Arabidopsis thaliana: one gene and its partner. The protein of the gene in region 1 interacts with the protein of each later gene in a biochemical or structural test. Each region holds a gene or a part of one and is shown in the gene's direction. Other genes may lie near its edges. The genes, in order: PHR1 and SPX1.

Evidence for each region.
Region 2: the proteins of PHR1 (region 1) and SPX1 form a complex in vitro, tested with the Arabidopsis thaliana proteins (one study listed by BioGRID).

Annotation. Positions count from the first base shown.
Region 1 is NC_003075.7:14,130,140-14,139,636, reverse strand, and holds PHR1 (phosphate starvation response 1), read left to right. Parts: upstream 1-4,344; 5' UTR 4,345-4,525; intron 4,526-4,678; 5' UTR 4,679-4,685; coding exon 4,686-5,243; intron 5,244-5,333; coding exon 5,334-5,523; intron 5,524-5,606; coding exon 5,607-5,683; intron 5,684-5,752; coding exon 5,753-5,795; intron 5,796-5,881; coding exon 5,882-5,939; intron 5,940-6,026; coding exon 6,027-6,096; intron 6,097-6,239; coding exon 6,240-6,473; 3' UTR 6,474-6,826; downstream 6,827-9,497. Other genes in the region: ABCB23 (ABC transporter of the mitochondrion 1), read left to right, coding at 1-301, 626-1,102; ABCB24 (ABC transporter of the mitochondrion 2), read left to right, coding at 1,684-3,249, 3,635-4,111; NPGR2 (no pollen germination related 2), read right to left, coding at 7,038-7,360, 7,464-7,632, 7,701-8,905, 8,985-9,252, 9,322-9,497. UniProt on the Arabidopsis thaliana protein: Transcription factor involved in phosphate starvation signaling. Binds as a dimer to P1BS, an imperfect palindromic sequence 5'-GNATATNC-3', to promote the expression of inorganic phosphate (Pi) starvation-responsive genes.
Region 2 is NC_003076.8:6,798,486-6,806,831, forward strand, and holds SPX1 (SPX domain-containing protein 1), read left to right. Parts: upstream 1-3,796; 5' UTR 3,797-3,943; coding exon 3,944-4,213; intron 4,214-4,294; coding exon 4,295-4,421; intron 4,422-4,508; coding exon 4,509-4,882; 3' UTR 4,883-5,170; downstream 5,171-8,346. Other genes in the region: AT5G20130 (sulfate adenylyltransferase subunit), read left to right, coding at 1-215; HBP5 (SOUL heme-binding family protein), read right to left, coding at 581-676, 795-1,008, 1,107-1,241, 1,343-1,425, 1,511-1,582, 1,665-1,733, 1,810-1,947, 2,027-2,407; AT5G20160 (Ribosomal protein L7Ae/L30e/S12e/Gadd45 family protein), read right to left, coding at 5,590-5,616, 5,716-5,847, 6,174-6,494, 6,615-6,617; AT5G20165 (kish-A-like protein), read right to left, coding at 7,477-7,538, 7,732-7,766, 7,881-7,949, 8,047-8,153, 8,243-8,245. UniProt on the Arabidopsis thaliana protein: Plays a positive role in plant adaptation to phosphate starvation. Inhibits PHR1 DNA-binding activity in a Pi-dependent manner.

The DNA of each region.
Region 1 (9,497 bases):
TAAAGATACAGAGACAAAGCTACCTCCTCTTGTTCTGAGAGGTGGAAGCATCAGTTTTGAGAATGTACATTTTAGTTATCTGCCAGAGAGAAAGATTTTGGATGGGATTTCATTTGAGGTACCGGCAGGGAAAAGTGTAGCGATTGTTGGTAGTAGCGGAAGCGGCAAATCGACGATTCTTAGAATGATTTTCAGGTTCTTTGACACAGATTCTGGTAATGTTAGGATTGATGGTCAAGATATAAAGGAAGTGACACTAGAGAGTCTTCGAAGCTGCATTGGAGTTGTCCCTCAAGATACTGTAAGTTGCCATTTTGACTAGAATTGTTCTCTTACATTTTGTTGTTATTAGTCTAAACCGTGACAAATTAGGTAAAATGTTAGTTATCTACTTAGGGCTTATTGGAAAAATCTATTTAGGGTATTTTAAACTTTTTTGTTATTCAGTCACAATTTCTACATAAATCACATGCAGATGACATTTTACACTCCAAAAGTGATTCTGATTAAACCTGATGATCTTAATTTTCATTTTAATATCAAATCGATTTAATGGTTATAACTTGCATACTTAAAGATAAACTAGACTAATCATAGCCTCAATTGACTCCTGGAATTATGGCAGGTGCTCTTCAATGACACAATATTTCACAACATTCACTATGGAAACCTTTCAGCAACAGAAGAAGAGGTGTACGATGCAGCTAGGCGAGCAGTGATTCACGATACGATCATGAAATTTCCGGATAAATATTCGACCGCGGTGGGAGAAAGAGGGCTGATGCTGAGTGGTGGAGAAAAACAAAGAGTGGCACTTGCTCGTGCCTTTCTGAAATCACCAGCGATTCTCTTGTGTGACGAAGCAACGAATGCGCTTGATAGTAAAACCGAGGCAGAGATAATGAAAACGTTCAGGTCGCTAGCGAGTAACAGAACATGCATTTTCATTGCACATAGGCTGACCACTGCGATGCAATGTGATGAGATAATAGTAATGGAGAAAGGGAAAGTGGTGGAAAAAGGGACACACCAAGTGTTGTTGGAGAAATCTGGCAGATACGCTAAATTATGGACACAACAAAACAGTACACTGGAGGTGTGAATCTCAAGAGCTAGACAGCTAGTGTTTGGGTTCTGTTTTCGCCTCACTAATTCTTTTTTTTTGCTGACTTCCCTTATTTTTGGAATCATATATTTGCAAATATCATTGATGGTACTTTGTAGCCTTGTTACAAAAAATAAAACATATTTGTAACCTTGGGAAAATCATTTATAGTCGTAGAGGTACCAAACCGATTTTTTCAATTACCTTTTGACAAATCAAAAAGTTTCGTTATTCGGTTTTAAAGTAAGCTATTTGTATTACCTTTGGAATCATTGAATTGGATAAAAACCAATAGTCCTTGAAGTATCCGGTTCTCATGCCTAAAACACGTGGCAATCGAACCAGGACCGGTTATCTCCGAGATATCTAATTCATAATCTTATTGTAAACAAAGACTGGGGAGGTTATTAACAAGTTGAGATCTCCAAGCAAGAGGTAATTTTTTAATCTTATTCTTCTTCAGGTGCTATGGTACGAAACTGGATTCAGAAAGAGGTCGAGCAAAAAGTCAAACAGACGACTCTACAGAAATATAAGAAACGAACCAGACGAAACTGTATATGTTAGGACAAGAAGCAATGATGAGAGTTTCTCAACTCCAACTCTGTCGCACTTCTCTTTCGTACCGTCTTCGCTCTGGTTATCATCATCATCATCATCTTCACCACAGTTTCTTCAAGCTCATCAAACGTAACTCAATTCTTGAATCTCCACCTACTAATGCATCTCATCAATCTCCATCCCCGATTACTCCTATGGTCAACGCACGCGTCATGTTCTTCTCCACTTCAACTTCAGCTCCACATCCAGAGAAAATCAACAGGACGTCGTCGGAGAATATCCTTCGGATGATTTCAAGCTATCTATGGATGAAAGACAACCCAAAACTCTGTTTCAGAGTCATCTCTGCTTTTGCGTGTCTCGTGGGAGCTAAGTTCTTGAATGTTCAAGTTCCTTTCCTCTTCAAAGTAGCTATAGATTGGCTCTCTTCATCTTCATTCGTTGATTCAAACCCTTACCTAGTTGCTGCTTTCGCTACTCCTTCCTCTGTTCTCATTGGTTATGGCATTGCTCGATCTGGTTCTTCTGCTTTCAACGAGCTTCGTACTAGTGTTTTCTCCAAAGTAGCTCTCCGCACCATACGAACCATCTCTAGAAAAGTTCTCTCGCGTTTACACGATCTCGATCTTCGTTACCATCTAAATAGAGACACAGGTGCTTTGAACAGAATCATTGATCGTGGAAGCCGCGCTATAAACACGATTCTCTCAGCTATGGTTTTCAACATTATGCCCACGATCTTGGAGATATCAATGGTCTCATGTATATTAGCATACAAATTTGGAGCTGTTTATGCATTGATTACTTGTCTTTCTGTTGGATCATATATAGCATTCACGTTGGCTATGACGCAGTGGAGAATCAAGATTAGAAAAGCTATGAATGAAGCTGAAAACGATGCTAGCACCAGAGCCATTGACTCTCTCATAAACTACGAGACTGTTAAGTATTTCAACAACGAAGATTACGAAGCTCGAAAGTACGATCAGTTACACGAAAATTACGAAGATGCTGCATTGCAAAGTCGGAAAAGCTTTGCCTTATTAAATTTTGGACAGAGTTTTATATTTAGTACAGCTTTGTCAACAGCAATGGTGTTGTGTTCTCAGGGGATTATGAATGGTCAGATGACAGTTGGTGATTTGGTGATGGTGAATGGTCTCCTCTTTCAACTGTCTCTTCCTCTTTACTTTCTCGGGGTTGTTTACAGCGACACCGTTCAGGGACTTGTCGACATGAAATCGATGTTTAAGTTTCTAGAGGAGAGATCTGATATCGGAGATAAAGATATAGACAGGAAGCTCCCTCCTCTTGTTCTGAAAGGTGGAAGCATTAGTTTTGAGAATGTACATTTTAGTTATCTACCGGAGAGAAAGATTTTAGATGGGATTTCATTTGAGGTACCGGCAGGGAAAAGTGTGGCGATTGTCGGTAGTAGCGGAAGCGGAAAATCGACTATTCTTAGAATGATATTCAGGTTCTTTGATGTAGATTCCGGAAATGTAAAAATTGATGGTCAGGATATAAAGGAAGTGAGACTAGAGAGTCTTAGAAGCTCCATTGGAGTTGTCCCTCAAGATACTGTAAGTTGCCATTTTCACTATAAATTTTGCTAGCTCTTACATTTTGTTGTTATGAGTCTAAACCGGTTTTTAGTATGTTAGCATATGGTTACAGATTGGGGTTTGATTATTAGTACTGTATACTCTTTTGTATTACAATCACGTTTACTACATAAATCATGAAGGAAATGATATTGACACTGCAAAATGCTTCTTAATTGTAACTAAAATCTTTATTTTAATATCATGGCCTTTTTCATACGTTTTGGTAGTTTAAAATGTAACATGTCACTTTTCTACAAATTGCATGACTTCAAAGTAACTTCCATATACAAATTTAATATCATTATCAGGCATATATACCAATCATAAATATTCGTATCATTAACCTTAATTCACATGGCAGGTGCTCTTTAACGACACTATATTTCACAACATTCACTATGGAAACCTTTCAGCAACAGAGGAAGAGGTGTACAATGCAGCTCGACGAGCAGCGATTCACGATACGATCATGAAATTCCCTGATAAATATTCGACCGCGGTGGGAGAAAGAGGGCTGATGCTGAGTGGTGGAGAGAAACAGAGGGTGGCACTTGCTCGTGCATTTCTGAAATCACCAGCAATCCTATTGTGTGACGAAGCAACAAGTGCACTCGACAGTAAAACCGAGGCAGAGATAATGAAAACGCTGAGGTCGCTAGCGAGTAACAGGACTTGCATTTTCATTGCACATAGACTGACCACTGCAATGCAATGTGATGAGATATTAGTAATGGAGAAAGGAAAAGTGGTGGAAAAAGGGACACACGAAGTGTTGTTGGGGAAATCTGGCAGATACGCTAAATTATGGACACAACAAAACAGTAAATTGGAGGTGTGAATTTTGTAAAACTATGAATCAAAAAGCCACTTTGGGCCTTTATATAGCCTTTTAAGAGAGTGAAAGAGCAGAAAATATAGACACCAGAAAAAATTTAATAAATAAAAACGAAAAAGATCAAGCCCAATACACGATCCCAATTATCCAATAAACAACGTCCACGTAGATCCCGACAAGCGAGTCATACTCACGCGCTGTTTCACCGAGCGTGAAAAAAACGACGGCTGATCCCTTTGTTTAAGACAGCCACCACCTCCGAAATTAACAAGAAGGCGAAGAAAATCATCACCACCGTCAACTTTTCTCTTGCGGACAAGACGATTCTCCGATTATCCCCAAGAGGAGAATCCTCATAATCATTTTCTCCGATTCGATTCGTCTTCCTTGGTCCTGGATTGCTTCATGAATTTCTAGGTGAGAATTTTCGATCCTTCTCCTTTGCCTTTTGGTAATCCACAGAGAGATAGAGACAGAGAATTTATATCTTTCGAGCATAGTTCGGATTCGATTTGGTTTTGTTTTTCCAGCGAAGTTGATGTTTGGTTGGATAATGATTCTCTCTTGCAGGACAACAATGGAGGCTCGTCCAGTTCATAGATCAGGTTCGAGAGACCTCACACGCACTTCTTCAATCCCATCTACACAAAAACCTTCACCAGTAGAAGATAGTTTCATGAGATCAGATAACAACAGTCAGTTAATGTCTAGACCATTAGGACAAACCTACCATTTACTTTCATCTAGTAACGGTGGAGCTGTTGGACATATATGTTCTTCTTCATCATCTGGTTTTGCAACCAATCTCCATTACTCAACTATGGTATCTCATGAGAAACAACAACACTACACAGGAAGCAGCAGTAATAATGCTGTGCAGACACCAAGCAACAACGATAGTGCTTGGTGTCATGATTCATTGCCAGGAGGGTTTCTTGACTTCCATGAAACCAACCCGGCGATTCAAAACAACTGTCAGATTGAGGATGGTGGCATTGCGGCTGCTTTTGATGACATTCAAAAACGAAGTGATTGGCATGAATGGGCTGACCATTTGATCACTGATGATGATCCTTTGATGTCTACTAACTGGAATGATCTCTTGCTTGAAACAAATTCCAATTCAGATTCAAAGGTTGTTATAGTTTCTTGTTCCAAGTTTTTACTTTGTTTCTATTTGATATCTGTATTCTCAAGTTGTTCAATACTGGACACACTTTTTTAGGACCAGAAGACACTGCAAATTCCGCAACCTCAGATTGTTCAGCAGCAACCTTCTCCGTCTGTGGAATTGCGACCTGTTAGCACAACATCTTCAAACAGCAATAACGGAACGGGCAAGGCACGAATGCGTTGGACGCCAGAGCTTCACGAGGCTTTTGTTGAGGCTGTCAACAGTCTTGGCGGTAGTGAAAGTGAGCATTTATTTCTCTTTGCTTTCCATAAACTTTGAATTGTATATGGAAAGATAATAACTTTTTCTTTATATTTTACTCAGGAGCTACTCCTAAAGGGGTACTGAAGATTATGAAAGTTGAAGGCTTGACTATATATCATGTTAAAAGCCATTTACAGGTTCTTACTATTCTTTAGTTCCCTGCTAATGCATATAATTGTCTTCTAATATTAGATTGTGTTTTTCAGAAATATAGGACAGCTAGATATCGGCCAGAACCATCAGAAACTGGTAAATACCGAACTCATTCCCATCTTCGTTGATGATTTTACCTGAAGAATTCAATGTAAAAACTAAAGTTTCTTTGATCACTACAGGTTCGCCAGAAAGGAAGTTGACACCGCTTGAACATATAACATCTCTTGATTTGAAAGGGTAAGGTTTTCTTGTCGGTTAACATCACAATGCTACACGCTACACCATTTTTAACTGATTCTTACCTCATACATATTTATACTGCAGTGGGATAGGTATTACAGAGGCTCTACGACTTCAGATGGAAGTACAGAAGCAACTCCATGAGCAGCTCGAGGTATGTTCATAAAGGCATTGCCATTAGCTTTGGTTTTTTATACTTATGTGTTTGGATTGTAGCTGCTAAAGAGAAAATGTGAAACCTGTTTATAAAGTATTCTGAATTTGGGTATGACATGTGTTCTTTTCCTTTGCCTGCAGATTCAAAGAAACCTGCAACTCCGAATAGAAGAACAAGGCAAGTACCTGCAAATGATGTTCGAGAAGCAAAACTCTGGTCTTACCAAAGGGACAGCCTCAACATCAGATTCCGCAGCCAAATCTGAACAAGAAGACAAGAAGACTGCTGATTCGAAGGAGGTTCCAGAAGAAGAAACCAGGAAATGTGAGGAACTAGAATCTCCACAGCCAAAGCGTCCCAAAATCGATAATTGAAAGTATTGGTCTTTTGCTGGATAATCTCGGAGTTTCAGAGTTAACAGTGATAGAGAGAACGAGCTCTTATCTTGAGGTTCTTCAGGACTTCTCTCTTTACTGTTTAACTATTTTTCTGATGGAAGACTCTCAACTCAGCTGTGTAGACAAACAACAGATCCCCAAGGAAGAAACAAAACAAAAATAAAAAGTTAGTTTGGGAGAATCTTCATCATTCAGTGTAATCTAAATGCTTAACTCATCATTAGTTTTACAGCTACAGATTTCTTATGTTAATCTTTTTTAGAATATCAAACCTGAAAAGTTTTCTCCGAAAAATTTATAATCTTTTATGAGTAAATAGTAAACCTGGCTTATAAAATTTACCTCACCAAAACCTATATTAATTTTTGTTTAACTGTGTATTACAAAATGTTTATAAACTTGACATCAAATGATATACTCGTACACATACATCTTTATATCTTCTTATATTCATCTATCAAAAACAAACACAAAAAAAAAGAATCAGAAAAGGAGAAATCATAACCAAAGACAAAAAAAATATGATTTGAGAGGGCAAAATCATCTGAATGGCTCCACTGGCATTGTTTCCTCCAAAGTAACGGCGGCTTGAAAACACTCAACGGCTTCTTGCATCGACGAGACGGACCCTTCAGCTTTGAACATCTTTCCAAGATTGTACCAAGCCGAGTGGTTCAGCCTATCAATCCTAAGAGCCTCCATTAGAAAGCTTCTAACAACCGCTATGCCTGATCGGTTACCGACCTCCAGCAGTATCTCAGCCTTCGATGTTAAGCTTGGGACGTGCATCGGATCTATGTCAAGAGCGGTTGTGAACGCCTCCATTGCTTCTTCTAATTGCCCCCGTCTATTGTACAGTACACCTGCCAATCGGTACGAATAAGCTATCAATATTACCGCCTTGCTTGTTTCAAAAAGACAAACAAACACTCCAAGTCTAAATGGAAGTAGAGAAGAAGGTAATACCTTCAATGTGGTATCTAACAGAAGAGTAAGGTGCAATGAGTCTTGATCTCGAGAGACATGACTCTGCGTCACGCCATTGCGAGAGGTTTATGTAAATATGAGCCAGATCGTGCCACGTCCCAAGCTCCAGACTCATCAATTCCTTTACATATCCCTGTAATGAATAAATCTGTTTCAGTGTTAATTCTGCACAACTCACAACTTTGGTAGAGAAATCAGAACATACGAAAATGTTACCTTAGGCAGCTTCTTTGCAGAATTGAAGCTTTTGCTTTGAACCTGAAGGAGTGCTAGAAGTTGTGTGTAAGTCTTAATCGCATCTTTCACTTCTCCTTTAGCTAAACGAAGCTTTGCCTTCAAACGTAACAGCTTCCCCTGTTCCCATTTCCCTGTCTCGTTAAGCGCTGCATCCACAATGGTCTCCGCGTCTGAAAACCGCTTCTGTGCAGATAAAACCCGAGCCAAAAGTAACCATACTTCAAGATCAGACTCTGCTCCAAGTTTCAACGCCTCTTTAGCATATGCTAATGCAGAATCCAGTTTCCTCTGTTCTGCATTCTCCAACGCAAGACGGTGCACAACCCTCGGGTTTGTCATATCTGCAGATTCCAGGGCCTGAATCCCCTCGGATTGCCTAGCTATCCTCTCAGTCTCTGTAACAGCCATTCTAGAGCTTTCCGTGAGCGTGATCCCTAAAACGAAACGCGCTGCTCCATCTAATTGACTGCATTCCTTCCCCAAGTTTCCGATAGCTTTCCGGGCATAATCTAACCCTTCCTCAGCAAGACCAGACCTCTCACCGCATATTTTGGAAGCCATCAGCAAACCCGAAGTCCTGTTTGGATCCTCTCGTTCTGAAAATAGCTTCCTCAGTAAACCTAACGCAACAAGACCTTCTCCTGCACCTTGGTAACACAAAGACAATGTATGATAAAGTTCCCTCTGATCCAAGAGCTCAGGACTAAGCTCTTCAAACTGCTTAGCCAGAGCGGTTAGATCGCCTGCGATTGTAAGAGCGAACGAGAGATGGTCCAAGATTGCCGCATCCCATGAGATTCTTTTCAGATTAACTTTCCTGAGAAGTAACATCAGAAGAAGAATAGCTTCTTCCACATTGTTCCTCGGAATGAATGAGCCCTCAGTCTGAGAACGTAGGTTTGGCGGCACTGCTTCTTCCCCGGAATAGAGGAGAAACACTGCGTACTCTTTCTGTATCCTCGCCGTGGTTTCTGGATCGAGTTTCCAGTGATTGAGAAGCGCTCTTCTATACGACAAAATAGCATCACGAGGTGAATCAGCAAGCTTCCACAACTCAGGAAGCAGCTCAACCGCTTTTGTCAGTGTCTCCTGCAACTTAATATCTCCAGTCACATTATCCGACGCACCTTCTGCTAAAGAAGTCTCGACTATATCAAGAATAACTCTGCAAGACTCCGCAGCTTCTGCAAGAAGAAGCACATGATATTTCTGTTTAGCCAAAAACAAAACCAAACACGGATTAAGAGAAATGACTGTTACTACCTTGGAACCTTCCAAGACGCTGGAGAGACTTGGCTTTGAGAAAAATAGCTTCGAAAAGTAAACTAACAGCATGTTTAGACATGGCAGGTGAAGGAGCAGTAGAAAAGCCGCCTTTAGACCGTCTTCTATGTTTCCGGTCTTCTCTAACGGTTAGAGCGGTTTTCATCTTTACTGTGATACCATTGATATCTATCCCTTCAAAGACTCGCAATGCCGCCTCTATATTTCCTTTCTGATACTCAATTCTTCCCAAAAGCGCTCTCGCCTCCTGAAACAACAACACAATGGCTAAGCTTGTCCAATCAAACAAAGCTCAAGAGTGACCAAGAAATCAAACCTCGTAGTTCAATGAACTCGTCTCACGCAGAGATAACTCGGCTTCTTCGATATTTCCATTATCTAGTTTCTTAGCATTCTCGCTTTCTGCGGTCGATAAAGCTGAGCTTCCATTGTAGTCTCTACCAACTCCAACCTCAGATTTCTTGTCTTCTTCTTCTCTATGCCTCATTTGTT
Region 2 (8,346 bases), on another chromosome or scaffold:
ATATGGTGGTTGCGAAAGGTGAAGTCATGGCTGCATTTGTGTTAAACCCGTTGTTGTATGCGTTGCGAGGAACACGGGAAGGTTTGTCTTCTCTAAGCTCCAAACTCATGGGAAGAGAAGCTTCCAAAGTGAGTGGTGACAACTCAGAGGAGATGTGGAAGAAGGAAGGTTCCACTGCTAAAGAGAGCGTTGTCCGGAAATGGGGAAGTGACTGAAACACAATTCTTAAAGCTGACTCAAGAAGAATGACTTTGGGTGTTTTTGTAACATCAAGATGAGATAATATGCAATCGACCTTTTCAGTTTTGTAATGGAGGATAGGTATTTTCTGTGAACAAGAAAGAGTGACTCTGTTTGTAACTTCCATCATCCATTTTTTTAACATCAAGAGGAGAGCAAATATGTCTCATAGATAAATGCTTGTCCACAAATAATGAGCAAGCTTAATGTTGTAGCCTGTAGGTTTGTGTCTATACAGCTTTTCTGTCGTCGCAATCTTAAAATTATAAAGTAGATGGAACCTCTACATACGTCTTATGGTAACATTTGGCCAAGCTCTAGCTAATCCAGACTGAAATCTTCAAGCCATATGATAACTTCGTTCCTCTGCAAATGCAAGACAATCACAAAGAACAGATGAGAGCCACGAATCAGACGAAAATGATAGAACCTGCGACTGAAGACAATGATCAAACCATCATTTGGGTATGTCATGATGATAATAATTAAAAGAAATAAGACTAATAGATGGTTTCTAACTAGACATCAAATATTGCTAAAGCTTGGAATCATACCATTATGAAGTTCCATGTTCGTCCTGGATCGTTGTAACGAGCAAGCATACAACCTTTCTTAGCTCTCAGACCATCTTTACTCAGACTGCTCCTCAGTTCATTCTCTTTTGCTTGGACAACATCCTCTGTCGGTTTACCACTGAATTTCACTGCTGCAGCAAAACCGCCTTCCAACTTCTTCAAATTTACCTTTTCTTCATTAGGCATTGGTAAGCTAGAGGAAAAAGGAAAGCAAAACCATTCTCATCACACAATGATTCTCATTAACCATATCTGATGTCAACTAAAAAACTATCCATGATAAGGCTTTACCTGCTAAGATCTTTTCCTGATGGAATAACAATTTGTACAGAGACATCAGAAGAGAGTTGAGTATCTGTTGTTTGAGTAAACACTGGAGTTGTCATTGGTATTTTCTCCATGGTCGAGTTCTTTCCAAATATGTAGCTTCATAGGTAAAAAAGCTAGCATGTGTTACATTTATCAAAATAAAACAAGATGCCAGAAGAATTTATGGACACTCACAGAAACTTAGACTTAACCCTCACCCAGCAACATTGTTGAAACCTGAAGAACCAGAAAGCTTGTCACCAATTGTCTCCACCACAATGAAGGGCTCATAGTTTCTAACCTGCCAAACAATCAAATCCAACTTAAGGCAAGCAACCACATTTGCATAGTTGGTTCCATTAAGCCAATACATGAAGATATGTGACCTCATAGTTTGCTGTTCTTTTCAGTATTTGATACTTTGGAGTTTCCAAGTCTGGCGTTTTATATATCCGTAACTGCAAAAAAAGGTAGTACTTGTAAGATATGATTAACCATTTCTAAGGGGGCTCAATTCATGCCAAATGCCAAGAAAGCAACCTGCTTAAAAACATCAACAAGACCTTCAAGAGAAAAGTAGTCATTGTTCTTGATAGAATCCCACAAGTCCTGCACAACATCTACTTGTAATAAGTAGACCATACCACAATAGATTTTGGAAGAAGGACATGGCAACCATACATACCAGATGACTACAAAATTTGTTAGTTTCAGGATTAACTTCCATGATTGATAATCCAGTGAAGACAAGTTCTGGTTTCCATGGTAAAGGTATGAACTTCATCACCATTGTCCATCTCGTAGTGATCTCATATGGACCTGTCTATATATCAGCTGCATCAGTGAACTTAAAAAAAACTAGAATTAAAGAAATCAAATGATAAACAAAAGTTAGCAAAGACCTGTTTAGCCCAGTGAAGCTGAAACTGAGGAGTGAAGATATTCTTGAGGAAAGCAATGTTGAAGAGATAGCCAGAGATGGTGTCGTGCTTAGTGATTGGGTCTCTGAACTTCACGCGCTCATCGTACGCCGTTTTATCGATTCCTTGGTCGTCGAAAAGGTGAGGAAGATCCTCGTACAAGAATCCGACGAGCTCTTCCATGTTCACTGTCGACGGTGCTGAAGCCACTTCCTTGCCCACCTCAAGACTCAAAATTGGCCGTAGACGAGTGGTTACGTTGCGTCTCGGAACAGGGAGGAAACGGGTGGTTACATGCCGCCGGCAGTCACTTCCGACGGCGGTGAGTATTGGCCGGTAAAGCTGCTGATTAACGGTAGCCATTGATCGTTGATAAAAAAGTTTTCTGCTCTATTTTATTTCTTGTGGTTGTTCGCTTTCATTTAACAATCGGTTCTTTTTTGGTACTGTCGGTTCGGTTTGGTTCTGGTTTTATTTACGAACCAAACTAAATTTGTTTCGGTTAAAATTCAGATTTTTTTTTCACTCTTTAGGCTTTTTTCATTATGGAACTTTGACTTAACGAGGCCCATTCCATTTGGGCTACTGGAGGGAACTTAACTCCAACAATGGATTACTTTGCTTGCATACATTAATTACATACGTACCCAGAAATGAGACAGAGACACGAAAGTTTCGATTATACGGCAAAGTAAATATTGTTTTAGTTTATCCGTCAAAGATTGTAAAGAATACGACGACCATGTCATAAGGATTTGGACTTTGGTTGTTTGACTAATAAACTGATAGTCTTCTTAATAAATATAAATTGACAAGTTGTAAAATCAGCAGAATTTGCTGCATATAGACAATGTCAAATGGACCGGTGGTTTATCCTAAATGTCAAAATCAGAAGCTAATAATGAGCAAATGTGAATGAATTAAGACGCGAATCGGGAAAATTCAATAAATTGTCCATTGGGGGGTGCTTTAAAGAAAGATTGAAAGATGCCGAGGTTTATACCCTTTTCCTATCAAGAATATTCCATGGAATCCAACTACTTTTGACCCATTTGCGTATTTGTTAAATCTTTTCAGAAAATCAAAAGTGGGTAAATTGTCAAACTAGTTGTAGTATTGAACTACTATTTATTGATCATGCCATCATCATGGAGAGACAGATATGATCATGAAGACCAAACGTCCACGTATTTATGTCATGACGACAATCTGAGCTGGATTTGAGGATATCTGTAACTGTAAATACTATATCCAATATTCATTTTTTTTACTTTGCAATTCGTTTTTGATTAAATCTAAAAATGCAAAAAAAATAAAAAATCACTACTACATAGTGTATCTGCATGTATAAATAGACATATATTTTTAAAAAGATGATTTAATACATACTGTACATAGTTATGAAGATATCATGAACATATATAGACAATACCAAATAAGGAAATCTAATATCGTAAAATATTTAAATATCAGATGAATACAGTACAAACTCTAAAGAAAATGAATCAAGATATTAGTACGATACCCATACGAATTTAGAAAAAAATGAATCAGATAAATGGATATAAAATCTGTAATATTATTTTTCTTTTTTTGGACAGCAAATCTGTAATAATAAGTATTGGATAAATAAATTGGCATGTGAGTTGTGATTGATATTTATGAACTGACATAGGCATGTGTTATAATCTCACCCACAGATAACCACGAAAAAGTAATAAATAAGAAAGGAATAAAAGGAAGATATTCTCCCGAAAGAAAGACAGAGAAAAAAGGATATTCTAATTAGAAACCTTAAGAATATTCTTTTTAATCCCTTTTATATCTCTAAACCTCTTCCCCCTCTCTTTCTTCTTCATTCATCATTCTCACTTAAGTTTCCCAGAAAATAAAAGAGCTATGAAGTTTGGTAAGAGTCTCAGCAATCAGATCGAGCAAACTCTTCCTGAATGGCAAGACAAGTTCTTGTCTTACAAAGAACTCAAAAAACGACTCAAACTCATCGGTTCCAAAACCGCCGATCGTCCCGTTAAACGACTCCGTTTAGATGAGTTTTCCGTCGGAATATCGAAAGAAGAGATCAATTTCATCCAATTGTTAGAAGACGAGTTGGAGAAATTCAACAATTTCTTCGTTGAGAAGGAAGAAGAATATATCATCAGACTAAAGGTAATATAAACAACATTTCGAATCCGATTCCTAAAAATGATCATCTCTTTTTCTAATGTGTCTCTGTCTGTACAAAAACAGGAATTTAGAGATAGAATTGCGAAAGCTAAGGATTCAATGGAGAAGATGATAAAAATCAGGAAGGAGATTGTTGATTTCCATGGAGAAATGGTTCTTCTTGAGAATTACAGTGCTCTTAATTACACTGGTAATTTAATTTAATTGCCTCATTAAGACTTAATCTTATTATTAGTAGTAGAACAAAACGTTGATGAATGGTTTGTTGAAACAACAGGATTGGTTAAGATACTGAAGAAGTATGACAAAAGAACTGGTGATCTCATGCGTTTACCTTTCATCCAGAAAGTTCTTCAGCAACCTTTTTACACTACTGACTTATTGTTCAAGCTTGTCAAGGAATCTGAGGCAATGCTTGATCAGATCTTCCCTGCTAACGAAACTGAGTCTGAGATTATCCAAGCAGAGTTATCAGAGCATAAGTTCATGGAGAGTCTTCATATGAAGAGCACAATCGCTGCCTTGCGGGTTTTGAAGGAGATCAGGAGTGGAAGTTCTACTGTTAGTGTGTTTTCATTGCCGCCTCTACAGTTAAATGGCTTAGATGAGACATGGAAGAAGATTCCATTGTTGGAGCAAGAAGCCAAATAGAGAGTGAGACAGAGGCACACTCGCTCTATTCCACTTTTTTATACAATAGAAGAAGCTAACAGATTAAACAAGACATTATCATCAATGTACACAAAAAGGCAGAAGAAACTATAGGATCATGTTTCTGGATATCATCTTTGGTCGGTCATAAGTCCTTAGGTTACACAAAACTGCAATGTAACTTTGTTTCTGTGTTGGGTGTGTTGTAGTTGATGTAATATATACCACTTCAGATTAATTATTGATTTCTTCTTTTCCAAAGTCATATGCTAGATATTTCAAGTTCTCTACTACTACATATACAAGTTCATAATCCTCTTCAAGAAGAAATGATGACTGCAAATGATACTAGTGACTCGATCTCAATTCAAGGTAAGACTTTGCATAATGCAACAGACCAATTGATTTCGTATTCAATCTCAATTCAAGTCCTTCAATTTTTATTTCAATTTTTTTGTTCGTTTTGTGATAGATATCAAAACAAGTTCTTATAAATAACACAATGATTCGCTACAAACCAAAACCAGAAACCAACACAAATTCTTAAGAAACCAAGTTGCAGAAAAGTGAATTACGTTACAAACTTGAAGAGAAGATAGTAGAATAATGGACGGTTTTTGATTTGGTAGTTGCCTAAACAAAACTTCAGTCAAAGCCTTCCCATTCGCGGAGACCCATCATACCGAGCAATCAATTCAGAGAATGCCTTAGATCAGAAGCTTCTCAATAGCATCCTGAAGAAATGTAAAAAAAGAGTTAATGATTAACCAATTCTGTGGAATCAATGATGGTTCAAGGTTATAAAGAGAGTACACAAGTGAGGGCTAAGTTACCTTGAGATGTTGAATCTGTGATTTCAATTGACTAGCTTCGTTAGATGTGACTGAACAAGCGATAACAGGTCTAGTCACACCACAGGCTCTTCCCAAGGCTTGCTTTGAAGGCACAAAGACATAAGGAACATTCTACAAAACATTCACAAAGAAAGTAAGAATATAGAAAACTAGTATATAAGAACAACAAAGCATTACAGAATCAAAAACATACAAGCTAAACAAAATCATAAAAGACAATCATAAAGCTGTCATTTTAAACTCCAACAAGTATGAAATCAGAGTTTAGTTAACAAAATGATATACAAAACTTGGCTGAACATTGGCACAAACTAATCAAACTATATCCTCAGCAAGTAAACTTAATTCTCTTCTATGAACTAAGGAAACAAATATCTCATTTGCTAAATAAACTGGTGTATAATAAAAGAGAAACCCAGAGAAAGAAGAAGTCAAACCTTATCCTCAGCAAGTAGGGGAAGATGAAGAAGAATCTCTAGAGGCTCAGCATCTGCAGCCATGACAACAAACTCGGAGATTCCACGATTAAGAGTCTTCGTAGCTGAAATGAACAAATTTAAATAAATCAGGAACAACTTCACAAACATTAAACTCAATAAATAAGAGAGACAAACACACATGAGTAACAAGCGGATACCTTCATTAGCACCCTTCTTGAGCTGCTTGTAGTTAGTAGCTTGTTGAACGAGGTCAAGAATTGTTATCGATAACTGAGAATCTGCAAGCGGATACGCTTTAGGGTTGACGACTTCTCCGGTCTGCAAGAAGAAACGAAAACAAAAACAAATTAAAACCCAAATCAGACAATCAAAGAGTAAGATTCCTTCGAAAACACTGCAAGATAATACCGAAAAGAAGAAAGAGGAAGAGAGAAGTACCATTTTCAGCTGCGATGTCTAGGGTTTCAGAGAGGATTAGGGTTTTAGAGGCTACGACTTTCTCAGCTTGAATATTCTGAATGATAACTTAGGCTTACGCTGTTACTTATATGCTTGTCGATTTTATACATCTTTTTAATGGGCCTGGGTGATGATATACTTCGGCCCATGTGAACTAACCTTAACCGACAGAACTAGTTTTGACTTTGGGAGTTTGGTTTTTTAGTTTCTTCTTTTGTCGGCGAAATTTTGATTAAAGCCCAAAAGGGTAACCATGACTTCACCTTTGTTCTTTTTGCTCGCATAAAACTGATCGATTATCCAAATTGACTGATAATTTTACAGCTACCACACACACAACAAACTTTTATTAACTGATGCTCTCATTAGTTCAATGAAATTAGTAAACTTGAAGTTACGTATGTGATTACTCTCTTCCTTTACGACAAAGATGCGTTTTATTAGCTGGTTCTGGTGTCTTATGCTCTACTAATTTCTATGGTTGAGCTTTATGGACTTGTCTCCACATTAAAATAACAGACACAATTTGTTCCAAATACAAGACCATATCCATAATCCAAAGAGGATAATATTCTACTCTTTCAGTTTCATCAACAACCCCTTGGAATCTTTTGCATACAGAAAAATGAGCATCCCAAAGAAGTAAAAATCTACAAGAACTGGATATGTAAGAAGTTGACACTCAAAAGAAAATGATCGACACACCCATCATGAAGCATCCAGCGGAGACCCAAGGGCTCAAACGCTCACCTGGTACAAGTGATGACAAAGCAAAGTTAAGCAACAGAATGTTCGGCGATGGAAAACAAATGGCAGTAAAAGTAGGAGGATATAGACTTAACTATATGCCATCATGCATATGCTTAAATAGGAGATCGACCATGGGTTTTAAAGCATTAGAATCTGGTATTCATGAGTTGAATTTATAGTACAATTGTTAGTAGCTGCATTGATTAGTAACGAGTTCTTGCTCCTAGAAAGCCTATCACTACTTTCTATAGAACACATGCAAAGAAATATTGTTCAACACAATGTTTTTAGAAAGGTTTTGAAATCACAAGAGATAACTGAGCTCCAAAGGGGTGAAAAGGCCTACCTATTCTAGCAGCCTTCCAGAAAAATCCTCGAAACCTGCAATAGTAATTAATCAAGCAATTTCTATCATTAATATGCATAGAACAAAGTGATGACTGAGGGCATTAGATGCAAGCTATAAATACAAAAAAAGCACTAGGATGAAGTAACATTTGCAATCTAAAGTAACAATATGCAGAGAAATCTGACAAAGCATCTTTAATTTGGCAAAAGACAATGCTTGAAAACAATAACCGGTGTCAAAGCTCCAAATGTGTTAGTGTTATCGGTTTTGAGAATAAAATTCACGAAAAAGGAGAACAAAGAAGGTACAAACCCAGTTTTCTGCTCTAAAATGGCAGGGAACTGCATCTTCAGATATGTGCATGTGCAGATCACAAGCAGCACCACCGTCAGAAACGAATGGAAATTGAACAAAGCTGACTGAATTTATCAAAGATAAACAAAACTCTTAGCTCAAAATCACTGAAATTAACAAAATTTAACAATGGAACAGAGAAGGCAATAACTACCATTGTATCGGATCACTGAAGCACTTGAGAAGCTAATAATTGTTTCCTTGAATCTGAAATAACCAGAAGAAAAAAAACAATAATGGGAATCACATGAGAATCGA